Rattus norvegicus: one gene and its partner. The protein of the gene in region 2 purifies or fractionates together with the protein of the main gene of each other region. This does not show direct contact. Links are inferred from orthologs where the notes say so. Each region holds a gene or a part of one and is shown on either strand. Other genes may lie near its edges. The genes, in order: Ctbp1 and Prdm16.

Evidence for each region.
Region 1: the proteins of Prdm16 (region 2) and Ctbp1 purify together in Homo sapiens (affinity purification with mass spectrometry; 3 studies listed by BioGRID and IntAct, with this or other methods). This does not show direct contact. The link is inferred for Rattus norvegicus from reciprocal best matches to the Homo sapiens genes PRDM16 and CTBP1.

The regions. Positions count from the first base shown.
Region 1 is NC_086032.1:81,687,538-81,696,933, forward strand, and holds part of Ctbp1 (C-terminal-binding protein 1), read left to right. Parts: intron 1-89; coding exon 90-244; intron 245-5,736; coding exon 5,737-5,881; intron 5,882-7,513; coding exon 7,514-7,720; intron 7,721-9,396. UniProt on the Homo sapiens protein: Corepressor targeting diverse transcription regulators such as GLIS2 or BCL6. Has dehydrogenase activity. Involved in controlling the equilibrium between tubular and stacked structures in the Golgi complex.
Region 2 is NC_086023.1:170,479,174-170,489,336, forward strand, and holds the start of Prdm16 (PR/SET domain 16), read right to left. Parts: upstream 6,632-10,163; 5' UTR 6,575-6,631; coding exon 6,538-6,574; intron 1-6,537. UniProt on the Homo sapiens protein: Binds DNA and functions as a transcriptional regulator. Displays histone methyltransferase activity and monomethylates 'Lys-9' of histone H3 (H3K9me1) in vitro.

The DNA of each region.
Region 1 (9,396 bases), on a different chromosome or scaffold from region 2:
TGATCTTTCCAACTCGAGTGGGTAGTACTGCCCTCAGGTCACAGACTGGAGCTGCCAAGGGCATTAAGTAGTCTGCTCCTCTCTTGCAGGCGTCCGACCTCCCATCATGAACGGGCCCATGCACCCCCGGCCCCTGGTGGCGCTGCTGGATGGCCGGGACTGCACAGTGGAGATGCCTATCCTGAAGGATGTGGCCACAGTAGCCTTCTGTGATGCGCAGTCCACACAGGAGATCCATGAGAAGGTAGTGTCATATGCACCTAGTAATAGTTGGCTAATCTTTATGGGGGTGTAGGGGACTCCAGAGCCTGAGCCAGGCAACCTCAGGCTGCAGTCTGAGTCAGCACACAGCCTGTTCCTTGGCCTCTGGCCACAGTGGGTCTGAATACCACCTGGTCTTGTGTGGCCTGTCCCTGTGCCTGGCCTGGTCAGGAGGTGTAGAGATGGCTTACTCTGTAGCTTCTTGACATATATCATAGCCAGTTCATTGGAAGCGGAACTGTGGGCACCTGGCAGTGATTGTGCTTGATGCTACCTGGCATACAGAAAAAAGGACCGATATCCTCACCCAGTGCCTGCCTAGAGCTTGTGGTCGGGTGGTTAGCAGCTCTGAGCAGCTTCTGTGATTCATGTTTGCTCAGATATGCTGTGTTTCTTTGTTACCTGGAATGTATTCATTTAGTTTCTGCTTGTATCAAAGTTAATTCATACTTTGTATTGAAGACAGCTTGAAAATGTTCTTAAAACAGTCTAAAGAGCTTCAGGAGCTGACAGGGATTGAAACCACAAGGGACCTGGCACCTGCTGATATGGATGGTCTGCATGGTTAGCCTGAGACTTGCTTCACTGGGAAGACCGGTGAGCTCTGTTCTTGCCAGCACTATGGCCTCAAAGGCTGGGTGCAGATGTTGCCTCAAACCCAGAGGGCAGTGAAACCCATATCTGAACTTATTTTCACATAGCCTACTACTCAGCCTTCTAAGTCTGCCAGGTATGGGATTTAGCATGTAGTGAACCTACAGCCTTGCTTCCCAGTGGCTGCAGAGTATCTGGGACAGTCATTTCAGTCTGAGCCCAGTGCATGTCTGTAGTCCTTGGGTACTTGTCACTTCTGTATAGACAATCAGTTATAAGAAGGTAAGACTCTGTGAGTAGAATAGAGCTTCTGATCTACGGGAGACCCAGTCTGACTACGGGATGGACTGCCTTCCGCCAAGAGAAAAACTGAGATTGTCATGTTGAAGGTCATGAGGTAGATGTGAAGGAACAAAGTTGAAAACACAGGGCTTCAAGACACTAAAGCTAAAAGTAAAAATTATCACTTAGGGCATAGAAGCAAGCAAGCAAGCAGAGGTCAGAAGTCTTGATTCTTAGGCCTTGGGGGAAGAGTGGCAAATAGGAGGGGAGTAGGAGCAAGGAGCAGGTAAGTTAATGAGACACAGGGCTCAGGGGGAGCTGCTGTACAGACTGAGAATACAGTGGTAGATGGATTCCCCACACAACAGGAAACTGTGAATTAAGGACCTTGAGCCTGTAGCATGGCGTGGGCAGTAGTCAGTGTACTCTATACTGTTACACACCCTTATAGCATGCCAGCAACCATACTGGGGGCCACTGTCCTAGCAGACATGACCTGCATTCAAGTCATACCTTACCTGATTCACAGTAGCCAAACTGGACACCACTCAGTGTCCTGTGGTGACATGCTGGGCAGTGTATCCTGCCACAGATTCTGGCCCAGGCAAGGTATGACCACAGGCACATAGCACCTGGCGTACATGTCACTGAGGGAAATCACCTTTCCTCTTTCTGCTGGCTGGAAATTGGGTGTGATGGCTGAAGCTTGGGCAGAAACCTTGTACTCTAAGAGGTAAGGGATATACAGAGAATGGCACAGCCACAAGACAGGAGAATGGTACCCAAATAACTGAAAATGCAATAGGGCATGTGGAATCACACCTGTCTCTAGGTGTGGAAAGGAGAGAATTGTCTTATATATCTTTGCTGTATGATAATTTCCACCTTTTTAGAGCAAAAAGTCCTCACAACTGGCTGGGTGTGGCTGTCTGCAATGCACATGAGCACCTTAAGTGTCAGTGAAGCACATGACGAAGAAAACTTTACAGAGACCTTGGCTCTTCTGACGTGGATCCAGGAGGAGTATTAAAGGGACTGTGGATGTGAGAAAGTCACCTTGTGGCAGAAATCTCAGAGCATCCCTGGGCTGTACAACTTGTCAGCCAAATGATCTTTAGCCCAGGGCTGTATGGAGCCCAGGAGGAACCCAGGGACACGGCTCTCAGCATGTGCTAAGTGAGGACTTAGGGGAGTAGATGTCTCCGAAGGGATCCTGTGGAGATGGGAGAATGACGCTCTATGACCCATGGGTAGAGAACACCCCAGGCTAGAGGAAGTCTCTTACACCTAAGATGCTCAAAAAAAAAAAAGTGGGCAGAAGTGTTTAATATGACCAGCAGGCTGCAATATGACCTTGGGCTCAAGCTGTAGACACATCTGGAATCAGGACAGACGTTGAGAGGAGAGGGTTTCACTGTGTGCAGGAGTCCATTGCCACAGGTCACCAGGGCCCGAGACTCTGAGACCCATTGCTTATGCTTTGATGGAACAAAGCAGGGAACCAAGGGACGTGTGTGGCCCTCAGGTATTTGGGCAAAGTGCTGTTGAACTAAGATCCAGGCCTGGGATGGTTTCTGGTTGGATGGCAGCAGTTGGAAGAGCAGGAGACTTAATGCAACTTCAGAAGGAATCTGTAGGTATTCCAAATACTCAGAGGGAAAGTCAGCAGCAGTAAGATTCAGCGAGGTCAAGCGAGCCCTTTGTGCCCTGGCCCAAGGGCACCACATGTGAGGTCTTCATGCTCTCCCAGTCGGAAAAGGAGTCCTTGCAGAGAGCTGGCCAGAGAAGTACTGCTTATGTTAACCACTGAGCAAGTCCCTTTCTGGCCCCATGAAAACTCAAAATTCACACGGTAGGAGACCTGGATGCCACTTCCTTCTGTGGAGCAGGACAGCTGCAAGGACCCCAGGTGTCTGTGAAGTTGGATAGTCTGCAGCTTGACTGTGTCAGCAGGAAAATATCTGGCGTGATGGTGAGGTGGGAAGAGCTGCAGTTTCATATGATAGCTGTTGCTGTTCATACCAGGTGATAAAACCATGCCGGTTGGTTTGGAGTTTCAGTGTTCTCTCAGCAGGAGGTTGCCCTGACCATGAAACCTCGTGGTTTGGGGCATATGCTTCGTTCAGAACTTGTTGCCACTGGGTGCACTCAGGACCCATTTCCAGCCAAAGATAGCTGACCTACATTAGTCATTCATCGTATGTTCTGCCTGCTTTGAACATCTGGGACCCAGATTCTTCCATTCTGGTGTTGAGGACCAAGTCCACTAGGGTCCGATCTCTAACCTGGTTACACAGCTGATGGATGAGGAGATTGAGCTGCTTGCAAAGGATAGTTTCTTGGAGGCCTATCCTAAGTGGACAGACCCAGAAGCACCCATAGAAGAGGTACAGGCTGGGTGTTGGTGGTGACCTGGGCTGTAGACCTCTGCCCACTGTCTAGCAAGCTCACCCCTAGTATGCTTTTGTCCTGCATCTGGGCACAGGTGACTTCATACTAAGTACAAAAAAAAGACACCATGAAAAAAAAATTCAGAGAGAAACATAGGCAGATTTCACCCAGGAAGGCAAATTCATGCACCAGTAGTAGATGAACAAACAGTAGGGTGTATTTTAGTTGCAGAAAACCCAGGGTTGATATCAGCATGTCAGTTGGCAGTTGGACAACAGTGCCTAGAGCCTCAAAGGACCTTCCATTTCTAAGAAATTAATACAAGGAAATGAATTCACTAGCTTTTATCAAGGAAGAGTATCACTGGTAGCACTCAGTGCAGTAGGAAGTTCAGATTCTTTGATTCCCCCTTCCCTGTTGGTACGTTCTGCAGTGCGTTGAAATATACTTTTGAAAGCCGGTAGTCTCATGGTTAAGTGCTGAGGGTAAAAAGCAGGCATGGTGACACATACACAACATAGGTATCTAGCGTATGTATCTGTCCTGTCCACAGTCAACCCTTTGCACACATAGTGAGGGACCCATGAGTATTTGGTTGTCAGGTGTTAAATCTGTCAGCACCTGGTACATGTCAGGTGTTAAATCTGTCCAAAACTACAGACCCATCCTAATGCTACCCTGAGATCTTTCCATTTGGTCTGCACTGCTCTAACTGCCATGGGCCTCAACAGATAACCATTATGTGGAACTGATCTCTACTTTCCCCAGCCTCACCTGTTCTACGGAGCTGTCCCAGGTCCTTCCTGTGCTCGTGACTGACCATCTGAAGTCCATACAGCACAAAGTAGTCAATGACGTCCCTAAATCTTCCCTTATTCCTATGCTTTGGGCTGCCTCAGCTGTCTGTTCCCCTTTCACTCTTCCCCACATGGGTTCTCCATGACATCCCACTGTCAAATGGGTGACCGCTTTTCTATACAGGTCTAAGTATAATTGGGGCATATGTGGCCCCAATTCCCTCCTTGAAGACAGGGGCAACCATGAGTCTTTGCCCCCAAACTTATGCCACTCACCCTAGCATCCCAGAGACCCCTGTTTTAGCTTCTTATGATCTTCCCTCAGCTCCTAGTTGCGTCTTCCATGCATAGTAGTCTAAATGTTCCCTGGACCCAAAATGAGTGGGGAGGCTGTCCCTGTATTTGCCCTTAGGGTTCTTCATGACAGGCGAAGGCTGTTCTGCCTCAGTGACAGCTGTCTGCATTCTAGGCCATGCACCTGGCTATTGAGGTTGTGTAGTAGAAAAGAGAGGCTGCATCAGCCTTTCCCCGGGGAGCAGCCCACTGCCCCAGAAGGATGCCTTATGGCACTATTTTTTTTTTTTAGCTGTCTTATTATGTTCTTATGTCTTTACCTCTCTTCCGACTCTTATTCCACCCTAATCCCTTCCAACCCCCAACACAAGTGAGGAGAGAAAGAAGATCAAAGAGGTAAGGGGGTGTAGACCTCTTTAGACTACTTCCTGCTGATTAGGGATGTTGTGTTTCTTGGTGCCAGTCCAATCAGCAGTTGCTGTCTTTGGAGTACCTCTGGCCTCTCTCGGGGCTCTGGCATTTATTCCTTCTCCAGAGTCCCCAGAATTAAGCTATCTGCAGCTGACAAAGGTCATACCTCTCCTAGAGCATAATTAATAGCTGTGGACAAACTGAAGCAGCTCCATATCCCACACGTTACCTCAGCCCCACAGCTAACTAGACCAGCCGGCAGGACCTGTGTGGAGGAGGACAGGTGCCAGAGTTGGCTTATTACAGAATGTAGCGCCCTCTAGAGGCTGGCCCTGCCACTCCCAATAACGTGCTTCTGAGTGTGCTCGTTAACATGGGTGCTCTTCACACTTCTTCACGGAGACTGGTGAGGACTGGGCCTCATTGTTTTGGGCATGGAGTCTGGTTGTTGGCAGGTGGTGCTAGTAGTCTTTGCCTTTGCACACCATCCACAGCCTCTCTGCTGAGTCTCTTAATGGTGACATGCTGCTCTTCTGAGAGAGCTGTTCTTGAGAGAGCACAGCTGTCCCTGCATGGTGTTCCCAGTATCTTCCCTTGTGTCCCCTCTGCCTCCCATGCCCCACTGTTTTGGCTGGCCACTCAGCCTTTGGGTACCTTTGGTGGGTCCTGGACAGCTTAGTAAGCAACCTGTTTTCCTTCCATGCAGGTACTGAATGAGGCAGTGGGCGCCCTGATGTACCATACCATCACACTGACCAGAGAAGATCTGGAGAAGTTTAAAGCTCTCAGAATCATCGTCCGAATTGGCAGCGGGTTTGACAACATAGACATCAAGTCAGCTGGTGATCTAGGTAGGAGCTCTGAAGCCCCTGTCTCCATTTACCAGGGTGTCTCATTTAACCTTCAGGCTCTGTTGGGCAATCCCAGCCTGCTGGGACTGCTCCTTGGGTTGAAGATGATTTGGGGCTATGGGAAGGACAGGTTGTGGGGGTCTGCACAGGACATGGGTGTAACTTTATTCACTGTGTTGTCACCAACTGGCCAGGCCTAGGGTTTAGGCTGAAACAAGGGACCAGTCAGAGAGGTCATTGTCCTCTTCCCAGAACAGGGACTATGTGCCATAGTCATACTTGTACACACATGAAGCCATGTGTGCTCAAATTGTACACATATGCATGACTCTGCATCTGTGTATGCAGTTTTACTGAAGCAGTATGGCCATACTTAGCCATTTTAGCCTGTTTCTGTGCTAGTGGCCAACTGACAAAGCAAGGCTGCAGTCTCCAGTGTCTGCTGTTGACATCATTCTGCCTTCTGTTCCTTAAGGCTGTCTGGGGAACCACGGGCAGCTGAGAACTTGAGTAGTGTGGTGGGAAAGTCCGTCTTGTTCTGTTGGTTCATGCTGGCCTGGCATGCCACAGGGGCCAGAAGCTGGCCGGCCTTTCCTCAGCAAGGCCCCACCATTTCCCTCTATAGAGCTCACAGGCTCGACTCTTGAGCTAGGGATGGCCAAGTGCCGCCACTGTGGCCCAGATACGGGAAGGGCTGTGTCTTGTTTGCCTTATGTCTTCTCAGGGGTCAGTTTTGTTTCTGAGCCTCCAGGCTACCTACTACTGCTCCATGTTCCCTTGCTTATTTCAAGGGAGTTGTTTCTAGAGGATGTGTGGGTCCTGTCTTGGCTCCTCTTGTGTCAGGTACCTCTAATTCTTAAGATAGTTTCTACAAAAACAGTCCTGTCCCAGCACCTCAGTGAGAAGCACAGGCAGAAGTATCCAGCCAAGGTGGGAAGTAGACTTGTGGCCACTGTAGAGGATGGGCTCATGGTGGGATGGTGGGATCCTCCTCTGAGGACAAGGACCATGGGCAGCCCAAGGCAGCACAGACTGTGTCAGCTTACAGTGCCTGAGCTTGGGCTCTTGGGATAATTGGGGCACTGAGGTTAGGAAAGAGAAGCCCCATCTGACTTGTTCCCAGGACAGTGGGCATTGCTGAGCTCTGAAGTCAGGGCATTCCTGGCCTTGGAAGCTCTGGGGATCTGGAAGTTGTGATTCATGTAGTATCAACAGGTGGGGGCCGGCCAGTCCCAAGATGCACCTTGGCACTGGCCCTTTGCCAGTATGGCCATGGCTGCTTAGGAATTTTGAGTGCCCAGTGATCCACGCGGGGAAGAAATGAGTACTGATGGGATTGGTCACCTGCACATCCAGACTATTCAGGCTAGGGATGGTCAGAGAAGCACTTAGCTGTCCCTGCTCTGTCTGTTTGCTTGTTGGTTGTCACATCTTTGTTGTACAAGGCTGTGACTCCAGGTTTAAGTATGCCCAATGATAGAGACAGGTAGTCCTATCTGGTGGCTGTGGGATGTGTCTTCTGATGTGTTTCTGCTGAAGCAGTACCCTGAGGTTGCGCTCTGACTGCAGCACCTCTGATTGTGATGACAGGAGGCTGTGGGCCTGGTACATGTGTCTCCATGTGTATTCTAGGCATCGCAGTGTGCAATGTACCAGCAGCATCTGTGGAAGAAACAGCAGACTCCACCCTGTGCCACATTCTGAACCTATACCGACGAACTACCTGGCTACACCAGGCACTTCGGGAAGGCACTCGGGTCCAGAGTGTAGAGCAGATCCGAGAGGTGGCTTCAGGAGCTGCCAGGATCCGTGGAGAGACCTTGGGCATCATTGGACTAGGTGCGTTGGCCACTGTGACTCAGCACAAATAGCCTTTGTCTGTCTGTCCCCCTTGCACTTCATAAAGTTGAGGCCCCGGACTTTCTGGTTGTGTTGCTATCCTCAGCTCAGGATAGGACATAGGATAGAAAGTCCAGGGGCAGGGCTGAAGACACTAGGCTATGTCTTTCACAGGTGCCATCCATGGAGGTCATTCATGCATGGGCACGTGTGTATATTATATGTGGATGAAACAGATAGGGTATACACATGGACACGCTTAGATATGTATACAGTTACATACACACGCTGTAACTGACATGTTATTACTGAAGCACCACCTTGAGGGTGTGCTCTGGCTATAGCACCTTTGACTGTTGGTGTCATGGGGCTGTGGGCCTGGTACATGTGTACCCCACAGCTCCAAAGACTTGAGTGGTATGACCTCAGGGCCTACTTCTGTCCTACTTAGGTGGTACTCAGTTCCCACTCTCTCACTGCTGTTTGCTTTTTGTTGGTCCCCATTTGTTATGTGTCCCATAGAAATGGCACAATAAGTTGTGCCAGAGTTTCACCATTGAGGGCTCCCTTGTCACCAGACAGCCTACCCTTGGCTGACCCTAGCTGCACTGTACTCCTTCCTCAGCACTGCTGCCGCTTCGGTAGATGGGAAATGTGTGTGGGTCACCTGAGCTACTGAAGAGATAGACTTGGTATGTAGTTGTTGTCCCAGTGGACACTCACGGCAGGGCTGTTTGGTATTCCATGGCACTGAATGTACCCTTCCTGTCCAGTGTATAGGATGAGTTAGTACCGCCTACCTCAGGGTTGTAGCCCTGAGACTCATTGAGGGTGAAGAAAGATAAACATGGGTAGAGTGAGGGTCAGGGGTGTCACTAGGCAGGTTTTGGTGGTCAAGTTCTTGCCCTCCAGTCTGCTTGGTCTTACTCTGTTAGTGGCTCAGCCATGTGTCCTTTTGGTACCCTGCCTTGCAATGATACTTGATACTTTGCCCAGTGTGCCACGTGGCTGCCACTGACTACCTTCTGGCCTACACTGCTGTCTTCTCTGCTGTGTCAAGCTGACCACTGTAGTCAAAGCTCCCCAGGTTTCAGGATCCATAGATGGTGACATGTATTCCATGTGAATGATGTAGATGACACAGACATGGTGATGCATGTGGACATACTTGTGTGTGAGTGTACAGTATATACAAGGGAGGATGGTAAATTGTGCCTCCTCAGAGCACAGCAAGGGCTCAGAAGGGAGTTGCTGTACCCTCTATCTTGGGGACCCCCTAGTCATGTAATTGCTACCAACTACAGAACAATTCTGAGGCTGGCTTCCATATACTGTGGCCTCGCTCTGGAAGGGAGATGACCACTTGCCCCCAGGTATCCCTGCTGCCTCCTGCTCTTCCTTTCTACGACCTGTGGAGGCTGACTTCAGTGTAGACTTTGGTGATTAATTCTTGTTCAGGAGAGAGGACACACAGGCAGTGTGGGGTGTACGTTTTGCTTCTGTAACATGGATGTGCCAGCTATTTCCCATGTCTGTTGGCCTTCACACCCAGTCTTCTGCCTTCCCCTTCCTTGTTCTCTATCAGATATTTGCGAAATCCTCTGTTATAACTGAAAGATACTCTGTTTCTTTCCTGGAGTATACATTGTATTTCTGCCTGAGACAGCCCTGTACCT
Region 2 (10,163 bases):
ACCCCCTCACCAAGTTTATTCACCTTCACTCTCATGTTGCTCCGAGAAAGCCAGCATTGGAGAATTGCCTTTCACTTGTTTTCCCAAACAGAAACCCAGTATGAGCAGAGCAAGCCCTGCTTGCTGCACACAGAAACAGGATGTGGACAGTCCTGCACCCATATACCTATAAAGGTCTACATAGACGTGTACCAATTTTCCTTCCCACCTGAGCCAGAAAGCTGGATGGGTTAACCAGCACCCCCCACCTAGGAGTAGCCTGTTCAGGACCCTGTACTCTCAAATCTGGGTCTCCGGCCACAATGAAAAAGACCCTGTTTCCCTGAGTTCCTTTAAACACACACCCCACTGCCTCAGCTTTGAGGGATGAGCACTTGGGGGTGGGAACTGCAGGAGCCTAGATGTGTGAACATGCACAGGGCGGGGAGGGGGGGCACAGACCCATATTTAGAGATGAAATATTCACCGGGCCAGCTATGTTTTAAAATGATTATAAATTATTTTAACAGTGCATTTGCAAAGGGTTATAAAAACAGCCATAATATATTTTTTCCCTTAGATTCTAGAATTACCAGTATGACAGCTAATGCAATAATGATTTGTTTCAAATGCCAGTGTTTAAGCTGCATAAAGCTGATTTCAGACATTTTTTTTTCCAGTAGGCCACATTGTACTTAATGAAATTAAACACACCAATCGCATTTGTCCCCAGGGGACGAGGGACTGAACACACCACTGGTTTATTTTTTTATTAAAATAAATTGCAGCCGGCAAGATGGACTAATTGCATACAGAATTTAAAAAAGAAACATTCCATTGATATAATTAAGCCAATTTTCACGGACAGAAATAGTTATAGTGGATACAAAATAAGCAAAGCCTTCACTTCACCAGGATCTGCCTTCCCTCCCCCCTCTCTCTCCTCTCTTTTTTTTCTTACACAAAATGTTAACTATTAAACAAATATGTATCTCAAGTGGTCAGCACTCCTGTCTTCAGCTCGCTGCTGGCGCTCATCGTTCCTCTCTCTCCCGAGAGGCACCTCCAAAGAGCACAGAGTCTGAGGACAGGGAGTGGTCGGAACAGGGAGAGACCACCCATCCCCTGGCTTCAGGTCTACTAGAGTAGAGGGCACTCTGGGCACAGAATGGTCACAGTGGTTCTGGCCACGAGGTCCCACCCAGCCTTGAGGAACAACGGCCAATATCAGAATATCAGAAACCCTGCTCTAGTCCTGCAGGTCGGGTCTACTGGGGATGCAGGAGCAGTATAGGGTGCTGCATCGCCCTAACTACCTGAGGAGGGCAGGTGGATTTTTCCCTGATAGTTTGGGAGTAGGGTAAGTAGGCAGCCCCCACTCCCCTTTGTGAGGTTTTTGTACTTGTGCTTGGCAGAAGATGGAGACTGGGGGGGTGGGGTGGACAAGGCCCATCCCTGGTCAATACCAGCTACTTAGAATCTGCCCTTGGAGAGGGTACCCACAGTCAGAGGAGAAGAAACTGTGTGATCATTTCCTGGAGGGGAAGAGTCCAGCCCTGAGCAAATAGAATTCCAATCTGCATACAAGTAGGGGATAAGGCAGACATCTGAATTCACAGGCTATAATGCATGGAATCTACCTGCCCTTTACGAATAGACAAATAGGACCGTGGTAAGCACTGGCCTTGAAATACTTTAGCCCTGACACGTTAAATTAATTAATTGATTAACTAATTAACTAAAAACACTACGGAATTAACTGTGGTCTGCAGTGCCACACTAAGAACCCCTGAAGGTCTTGAACTGGGTTGCAACTGTATGAGTTACTGCACCTGTCCAGGCTCTCTAACCTTCTAACCTCTGGAGGAGGGGTTCCAAGGTTCCACACTCTTTCCCCCCTCTTTCCCAGTGGAGGGGATACCTGCCTGCCAGGGGCCAGCTCACACCTACCCTGGAGGGAGGGTGGAGGATACCCACAGGTACTTTGAGGGTCTCTTCCCAGGCTGCTGCTGAACAGAAAAGGGACAGGGCAACTCACAATGCACGTCACTGTCCCTACCCTGGATGGGCAGGGACACCTGTGTGTGCACTCTGGAGAGCCCAGGTTGGGCAAGGGAAGAGTAAACAGACAGTTGCTCACACTGGGTATTTCTGAGCCAGGTGGAGGGGGTCTGAAAATTCAGGCAGGAACAACCATGAAGCCAGAAAGTGTCCCCCAAGTAGAAAGGCACCCACATAGTAGCGTCTGGGTCATAGTCTCAAGTTGGTGCAGTTTGAAACCTGCTAACTACCGCTGGCCCATCATTTTCTATGAATTTGAGGAGAGAGAGAGAAAAACAGAGAGAGACAGACAGACGAGACAGAGACAGACAGAGAGACAGAGAGAGACAGGGAGAAATAGAGACAGACAGGGGGAAGGAGAGAAAAGGAGAGAGGGAGAGAGAAAGAGATTTCCTCCACCTCACGAAGTTCTTTCCTGAACTGAGAAGGTGCTACACAGCCTTCTACTGAGTGAGCTTCGGACCCCAAGGCTCGAAACCCGGTTTTGATTCAAAACCTGATAAGTTGTATTTAATGCTATTTGAAATTTTTAAACGAAATTACTGAAAAGATTTTTTTTTTAAATCCTGGATAATTTTGTTGAAACTCTAATTATACATAACCTTAATTACCAGTCCCAGCCCCCCCTCCCCTCAAGGACCCTAATTGCCTCCTAATTGAATAAAACAGAGGGCTAATCACACCCCACAGAAGCCCTGTAAGCAGTGGCAGCTGAGGCAGTGCCTCCCTCTGGGGAGGGAGCTCACACCACCCTTACCTAGCCTTTTGGTTCTCTGCCCCTAGCACTGCCCAGGTAGGGGTTTGGGGGTGTAGAAACTGCAGCACTAGCAGGGGATAGGAGGTCTAACCTGAACCTGTAGTTCCCAGGCCTCCAGACTGCTGGAGAAGCAGGCACCCCAAGTCAGTGGATGGTTAGAGACCCTGGGGCAGAGCCCTCCACCCCACCCCCAGCAGACCTATCCAACACCTGCTCTACAAACTAACTTTGGCAAGACCTGCACACACATACCAGGCCACTGATCCCTCTAACACTGGTCCGACAGCCCTGCCCTCCACCCCTGCAACAAGCGGGCTCCACCATTCGCCTAAAGCGGGCAAGACAATCAATTACCCCGCTCTCAGGTTCTTGCTGCTGTTGAAGCTCTCATCGGTCAGTTGCAGAGAAAAAGATTGTCCCCTGGGCTCTCACTACCCTGGGGAGGGTAGAAAGAGGACAAGAGCCAGCCAGCCTAGCCACCTGCCACCCACACCCCTGCATGTCTCAACGGGAAGGACTCAGGCCTGAAGCTGGGCCTTCGATCTTTCACACCGCCCTAACAATTCATAACCCTCAACATATGCAACACTCCAAGTCCCACACCCAGCAGAGTGGGATGTGTGGTATTTAGGACCAACGGGGTCTGTCACCTCCATAGAAATCGGGTCTCTAGGGTGGCTCTAGTAGGGATCCTAGCTATAGAGAGAGACCAAGCTGTGCTGTGTAGGTTCTAAAGGTCAGGAGGGCAGCATCACCAACTGAGCCCCCAACTGCCCACCTGGCTCACACCAGCGGTGGAACAATTACACTATTGTTAAGAATTTCGTTTTTAAATGTGGGGCCAAGGCAGCCTAAAGTCCTTACTGGCCAGCACTGGCCCAGGTTGAGTAAGGGGACCCCTTATCTGAACTGTTTTCGCTCTGCCCCCCTATGTAGGCCTCCCACCAACTGGATCTTAGTCCTCACTGGGGGTGCCTCGGAGACTTTAAGCCTTAGAAGGCTCAAAAGAAGCATCTACTCTGGGCCCTTAAATTCTACCAAATGAATCACCTAAAAGGCCCAGCTTGAGTAAGCCATGGAGACAGAGATCTGGAGTGGGATCGCCAGGAAATACAAACGAAATTATACCTCAAGATGCACACTCTGGGACAGCCCCACACCCAAGCCCTGTGTCCTGATGTTACATCCATTGGCCCATCCGTCCTTCTGTCCTCAGGACAGTCTCCATCACAGCTCAGGGGCCTGAGTACAAGGGCAGAACAAAACCCTGAACCACCATGACCTTGCTCCTTTCTCCTATTCCCTGACCCTGTCGGCCAGCCTAGGAGGCTTCTGGACTGGCTGCCGAGTGTCTGCTGGTCACCCTTGCTTCGGGTAATGGAATTAGGTTCCCAGGAGCCTTCCAAGGCCGCTTAAAATATTGTCTTATGGAATAAGAAATTCTTCAGTGAGCCCTGGGTTGTCTTCCATCCCGAGCTACTTCACCCATTTTCTTGAAGGGGCTTTGGTGGTAGCAGTAATAGTCACATAGCCTGGAACCGGGTCTCCAGAGTGACATTCAAACGGAGACCCTGGGTCTGTCGGGCAAGCTTCTGTGGGCTGTTTCCAAAATGTCCTGGAAGGAAACCGTGAACTGTGCACTCACACCGGTTGTGTCCTTCGTTTCTTGGCCTCCAAGGAAGGCCTCAAGATGTCGCCCGGCGCCCATTCCGGTCCTACGTAGGGCGGCCTGGGCCAGGTGACCTTCCCCACCTGGTGGAGGTAGAGCAGGAGGCCCAGCAGGGCGCCGAGCGGGTGTGGGCCTCTGGAAAGTTTCCGGGGCCGCGCTGGGTGCGCTGAGCCAGTCTCTCGCTTGCAGCGAAGGCGGCGACAAAAAGCACAGTCGCTCTACTCCTTCCTCTCTCCTCCCAGCTTTGGGTCCTTCCTCTGCGGCCAGAGCCTGACCATCCAGCCTGCAGCCAGGGGTCGAGACTTCCAGAGGCCACGGTGCACACCGTACTCTTAACAGCACCCGGTACACCCGCTCCGTGCGTCGTGGAGAGTCACCCAACACGTACACAGCCCCTTCGCATCCGCTGGGAACCTACTGCCCCTGTTCGCACCAAGAGGGGTCAGAGGTCATGGGTGGCCCAGAAGGCCGAGGTCAAGGGCAGCTGGCCAGGCAGCTCGGTGGGAAAGGGGCTCTTAACCGAGGGGCCACGAACTCCAAGGCGTAGCTCAGGGAAGCTTGGCAGAGGTTGGAAGTTGCTTTTCCCTGCAGAGTGGGCGCGTGGCCTAAGGCAGTCGGTCCGCCTTGGGGCCAAGTTCAGCAGGGTCCGGAGCTCAAAGTGCCTGACTTTTTCGGAAAACTATTGCGGATCCCACACCCGCTCGCTAGGCTCATGCTCTAAGAGTTCGGCTCTGGAAGCCGCGAGGTCCGGCCAGGCAGGATCCTGCCCGAGAAGCGCAGACCGAACGGCCTGGTGATCAGGCAGGGACCTGGAGCCCGCGTGCCGGGTGCCCCTTTCTCTGTCCCATGGTAAAAAAGGGGGCGGCCGGGACGAGCGACTGGGATCCTCTCCGCACAGCGCTCAACGCTTCGCTGGAGCCGGACCGTGGCCCGGGTTTTCGGAGCCGTGCTTCAACGGCCGCGCTGCAGCGGGTCCCCACCTGCTGGCTGCAAAGGATGAAGCCCCGGGCCCGACTTGTGCCGATGGCGCCGGCACCAGGGCGGAGGGCGCGTGGGCAGCTCCGAGACGAGGTGGCCATAGTGCGGACGGCGGGAGCCCGTAGGCTGCGGTGGGGACCAGCCCGCTGCCGGCTGCGCGCACAGCCCCAGGCGCGGCCCGAGGCGGAGCGAAAGAGAAAGTAAGCCCCGGGCCCGTGCAGCCTAGCTGGGGCATTGGTCCCTCTGGGGCTGGCGGGTGCCGAGGACAGCATGTGCGGGAGGGTCGGAGTGAGGCCAGGCGAAGCAGGGCGGCGGGTAGCACGGCGGCCAGTGGGGACCCCGCTGCCGGAGGCGCCGGCACTGGGCGACCCGAGAGAAACGCGAGGATCACAGAGGAGCGCCGGCCACCACGCGGGGCACCACTTGGGAATAAACTTCACCAGCACAGTTTCGAGCGCAGGAAAAAGTCTCCATGTTGCTTCCCCGGCGGCTGCGGCCGTCCTGCCCTTGCTCCCGGGGAGCCCGGTGGGCGCCGGCCCGCGCCCCCTCCTCCGCCCCCTCCCCGGCTCAGGGTCTCCCTCCTCTGAGCCCGGCTGGCGGACGCCAAAGGCGGTGCTCTAGCGCCCACTATTTCAAAAGCCCGGAATATGATTTGACCAGGACTGAGAGCCACTCGGAGAGAGAGGGAGAGAGCGAGCGAGAGGAAAAGTTACTCTCCCCTTTCGTCAACTTTTCGCTAACTTTCGCTTTTCTCGCTCCTCCACCCCCGGCCCTCCCCCTCCGCCCCCCTCCCCGGCCCCCACCGCGCGCCTCGGGTTCCCGGGCCCGAGCGCCTGACACTGTGGGGGGGAGGGGGTTCGGCGGGGAGGGGGCCGGCGCCTTCGGGGAGCGCGCGGCCCGGGCGCCCCGAGCCTCCGCGCCGAGCCCGGCCGCCCCGGAGCGCGGGAGGCGGAGCACCCCCGGGCCGCGCGGTCGACCGGGGGCCGGAGCCGCGGGCGCGCCGACCGCGCCCCGACGCGCACCCCTGGCCCGGGTACCCTGGCCCCGCGGCCCGGGCCCGGCGACGCGGCGCGGTCGAGCGCGGGAGACTTACTTTTGGCTAGCTTCCTCGCCCTCGCCTTGGATCGCATGGTGTCGGCTCGCGGAATCTCTCTCCTCCTCCTTGAGCCCAGAAGCAGCTACACACTATCTTCATCTCCCTAGCATTGTCAGTTTGGACACCTTCGCACATGCGCACAGAGCACTCAATCTGACACCCCTCGCCGGGGCCAAAAAAACTTTGCAATGTGTTCATCATCCTCTTCGTCGCGCCGCCGCCGCCGCCGCCTCGGCGCGGGATTGGGGGGCTCTCCGAGGCCTTCTCGGTCTTCACCTCACTTCTCTCTCTCCCCCCTCCCCCCCCTTTTCAGCGCAGCTCTGAACTGGCCCTTTAAGAAAACATTCCTTGCTCGTCGCTCCCGCCCGGGGCCCGCACCCCGGACACTTTAAAAGGACCCAGGTAGCCCTGGAGGCGAGGTGACGGTCCCCCCGCCCTGGCCCTGCGCTGCGCAGCGCTGTGGCTCCTACCCAAGCCCAGCCTCAGAGGAGACTGGCCCGCGGCGGGTTTCTGCGCGACTTCCTTCGATCTCCCGCAAAGGCGCTGATAGTTCGGACGCGGGTCCGGGCTGCTTTTGCAGCGTTTTATTGCGTTTTATTACTAATTAAAAAGCTTTCGTTCGTCGTCGCCCCAGAGCTCTCTCCTCCCGAACTGCCCTCGGTCCCTGCCCGCACCCCGCACTCGCGGAGGGGGTGTCGGGGCCAACGCGCCCGATCCCGGCTCCTCCGAAGCCCCCGCCGCCCGCCGCCCCCCGCGGGCCTCCCGCCCCCAGCCCCTCCCCCCGCCCCCACCGGGTGGCTGCAGCTTCGGGTTCCGAGGCTCAAAAACAAACAGCCGAGGCGCCGCCAGCTCCGAGCTCTGCCACCGCCCGGGACGCCGAGCGGCGCTGGAGCCGTCGGTCCTCGGTCGGGCGCGGCGGCTGAGGCCAGCGCGCTCCGCGTCGGGGGGCGGCGGCGTCAAGGCCGGCATCTTGCCCTTGGCGTCCCGGGGTGTCCCGCACCTCTGCATCTCCGGGGTGGGCCCGTGCGCTCCGGTCTCCGCGCCCTCTTGGGCTGCGGCCGCGGCCCCCAGGTGAGTACCGGGTGCGGAAGCGCTGGAGCTAGCCCCTTTCGGGAGCTGGGGTCTTTTCTGGACACTCCCCTCCGGCTTCTACCGGCCCAGGTGCCGCTAGGGTTGGGGAACCCGAAGCACAGGTGGAGGAGTGCGGGCAGGAAACTGGCCGCGCTCTATCCTTGAAGCCTTCACACTCCAAGCTCAGGCCAGTGAGGGGCCTGGCTGGGCAAGAGCAGGGTGGCCCCAACTAAGAGGCCATACAGGGTGAGTGTAGATTCCCCCTTCGGGTACGGCTACGGTTTGAGTTTGAATTGGAAACAAACGGAGGCGCTGCGGGACTGGGTCACTGCCCTGGGCGCCCTCCCCGAACACCAAGGTCCCTCCAAGGCAACAAGATTCAGTGCTGTCACGATGTCACCTGAGCCCTCGCAGGGGTGGGCGCCATTTGGGTCTTTCTGCTCCCCAGGTGAGGCTTCTCGCCGTCCTCACCCCTTCTTTGTTGTGACTGGTCTCCTAGTACTAAAATCTGCACACCAAAATCCCGTTAAAACAGCAATCCCCCAGAGTCCTCCCTATAGATTCCCTCACCCAATGGAGAGTGCTGTTGGGCCCAAGCTACCCCAGAGAAGAGCTCCAGAGCTGGCGGCAGCGACTGCCCGCTGACTGCCTAAGGAGGCACTTCCCTGCGGAGATTCGGACCTATCTGAGGAGCCCACCGCTTCGGGTGCCTAGCCCTGCACCCAGCTGGCTGCACAGATGGAGGCCCTGTTGTGGGAAGGCCTGGCTCTTCCCCCTTTCTCAGTCTCTACCTGGGCTAAGTCACAGATCTACTCAGTTTATAGCAGTAGGTTCTGGGAGTCGTGGTGAGGGACTTCCATTGCAGACCGGAGGGACCACTGCAGCTCTTGGTGGATCTTGGAGGGCCCCCGAATCTGCTCACCCCCACGGGGTGGTGACGGAGTCCAGCAACACAGGAGATACTGCTCAATCTTGGCCCCGATGGCCTCTAGTCCGTGGTGAGCATACCCTGGGTTAAGCAGCACAGCAAAGAAGGCTCAAGGTCACCTAGAGGTGTGGCACCCTAGGTGTCCCTTGAGATTTGGAGAACACCAGGAAAAACACAAAGATGCTAATCAAAAGCTCTGCTGATGTGGGGCCCTGATCTTCCCCACCCTAGCCCAGCCCTGGCTTCTTTTTCTCTAGACTTGAAGGCTGCCGGGGGTCCCCCCCCCAACCAACACACACACACACACACACACACACACACACACACACACACACATAATGGTCCTACTTCTAGGGTGTCCAATTCACTCAAGTCCCCCTTCTGGTCCCATCTCCACTCAGGGGCACACAGAATTCTGGCCAGATTGCACCAGATCAGTCTAGGATGGGAGCAGGCAGCTGACCCTTGCTGGCCCGAGGTGTTGGGAACTAGCTGTAGCGAGTCTTTCCTGCTCTTGGCTGCCAGCCTCTGAGTTTGGGGGATGACCTGCCTGGGGAAGAAGCCTTGGAACTGAGGCTGACCAGGAACCCCTCAGGTGTTGCGATGGTTCTTAGGTGCTGGACCTTCCGGTCTGGGAGAGCCTTGGCCTTGGCCAGGCCCTGCCCCCACGTGGCCAGACTTAGAAGCTAAGCGGTCCGACGTGGAGGAATTCCTCAAGGAGAGCGAGAAAGCACAGAAAATCAGACAGAGGTCCCCTAGGAGGCCTTCTTGTATTTCCATCCCACCAAGAAAATTTTTTGGCAGGGATGGGAGTCGACACTTAGAGGAACAAGTGTGGGCAAGTGGAAGTCCTGTGGGGGGGGAATGGCTATTACTAAATGCTTCAAGAACAGTTTTCAAACCGAGTCAAGCTCTGGGGAGCTTGGGGACCATACGCTCCGTGGTGAGAAGTGCTGCCACTTCACTCCCTGTTTGGAGTAACTCCCTGCACGAACAACTGCTCCTACTGCCTAACTTCATTGCTGGTAGGGGAGTGGTGCCAGTAGAGAGACTTCCACCAACTTCCCTTCTGCTCCAAACCAGAGATGCCCACCCCTTCTAACCAACTGAGAAAGAGGCTGTGAACCTCATCAGATCACTCTTGGGGACCGGAGAAGGACCAGACTAAGGGAGTGGTCCTCGGTCACTTAGGGAGCTCTGACTCCTCCGGCTCCTTCCTACTACTAAGGTCCACAAAGTCCCTTTCTGTCGCCACACCCCGTCCCAGGCCTCCTAGGGGAAGCCAGCCTTTGGAGAAGTGCAGGGGTCAGAACTGGCACCTTTACCCTTGGTGTGCACGTGAGTGGAGATTCACTACAGCCCCTTGTGCAGCCTGGCTAGACTACCAGAGTCTCTTGTCCATTTTCCTCTCGGTTCTTCCGCCCCCACACGCTCAGTCGCTACCTCCCGCTGTGGCACTGCAGGTCCCCTCTGATAGAAAAGAAAATATAAGCACCTCTCCTTCCCTTGCCACGTGTTATTCCCAGGCAAGCTGGAAGTGTCCTGGGAGGGATCTTTGTCAGACTACGGGTCCTCACCCTACTGTGGCACATGAGCCACCAAGCCAAGATGGATGAGGATCCCC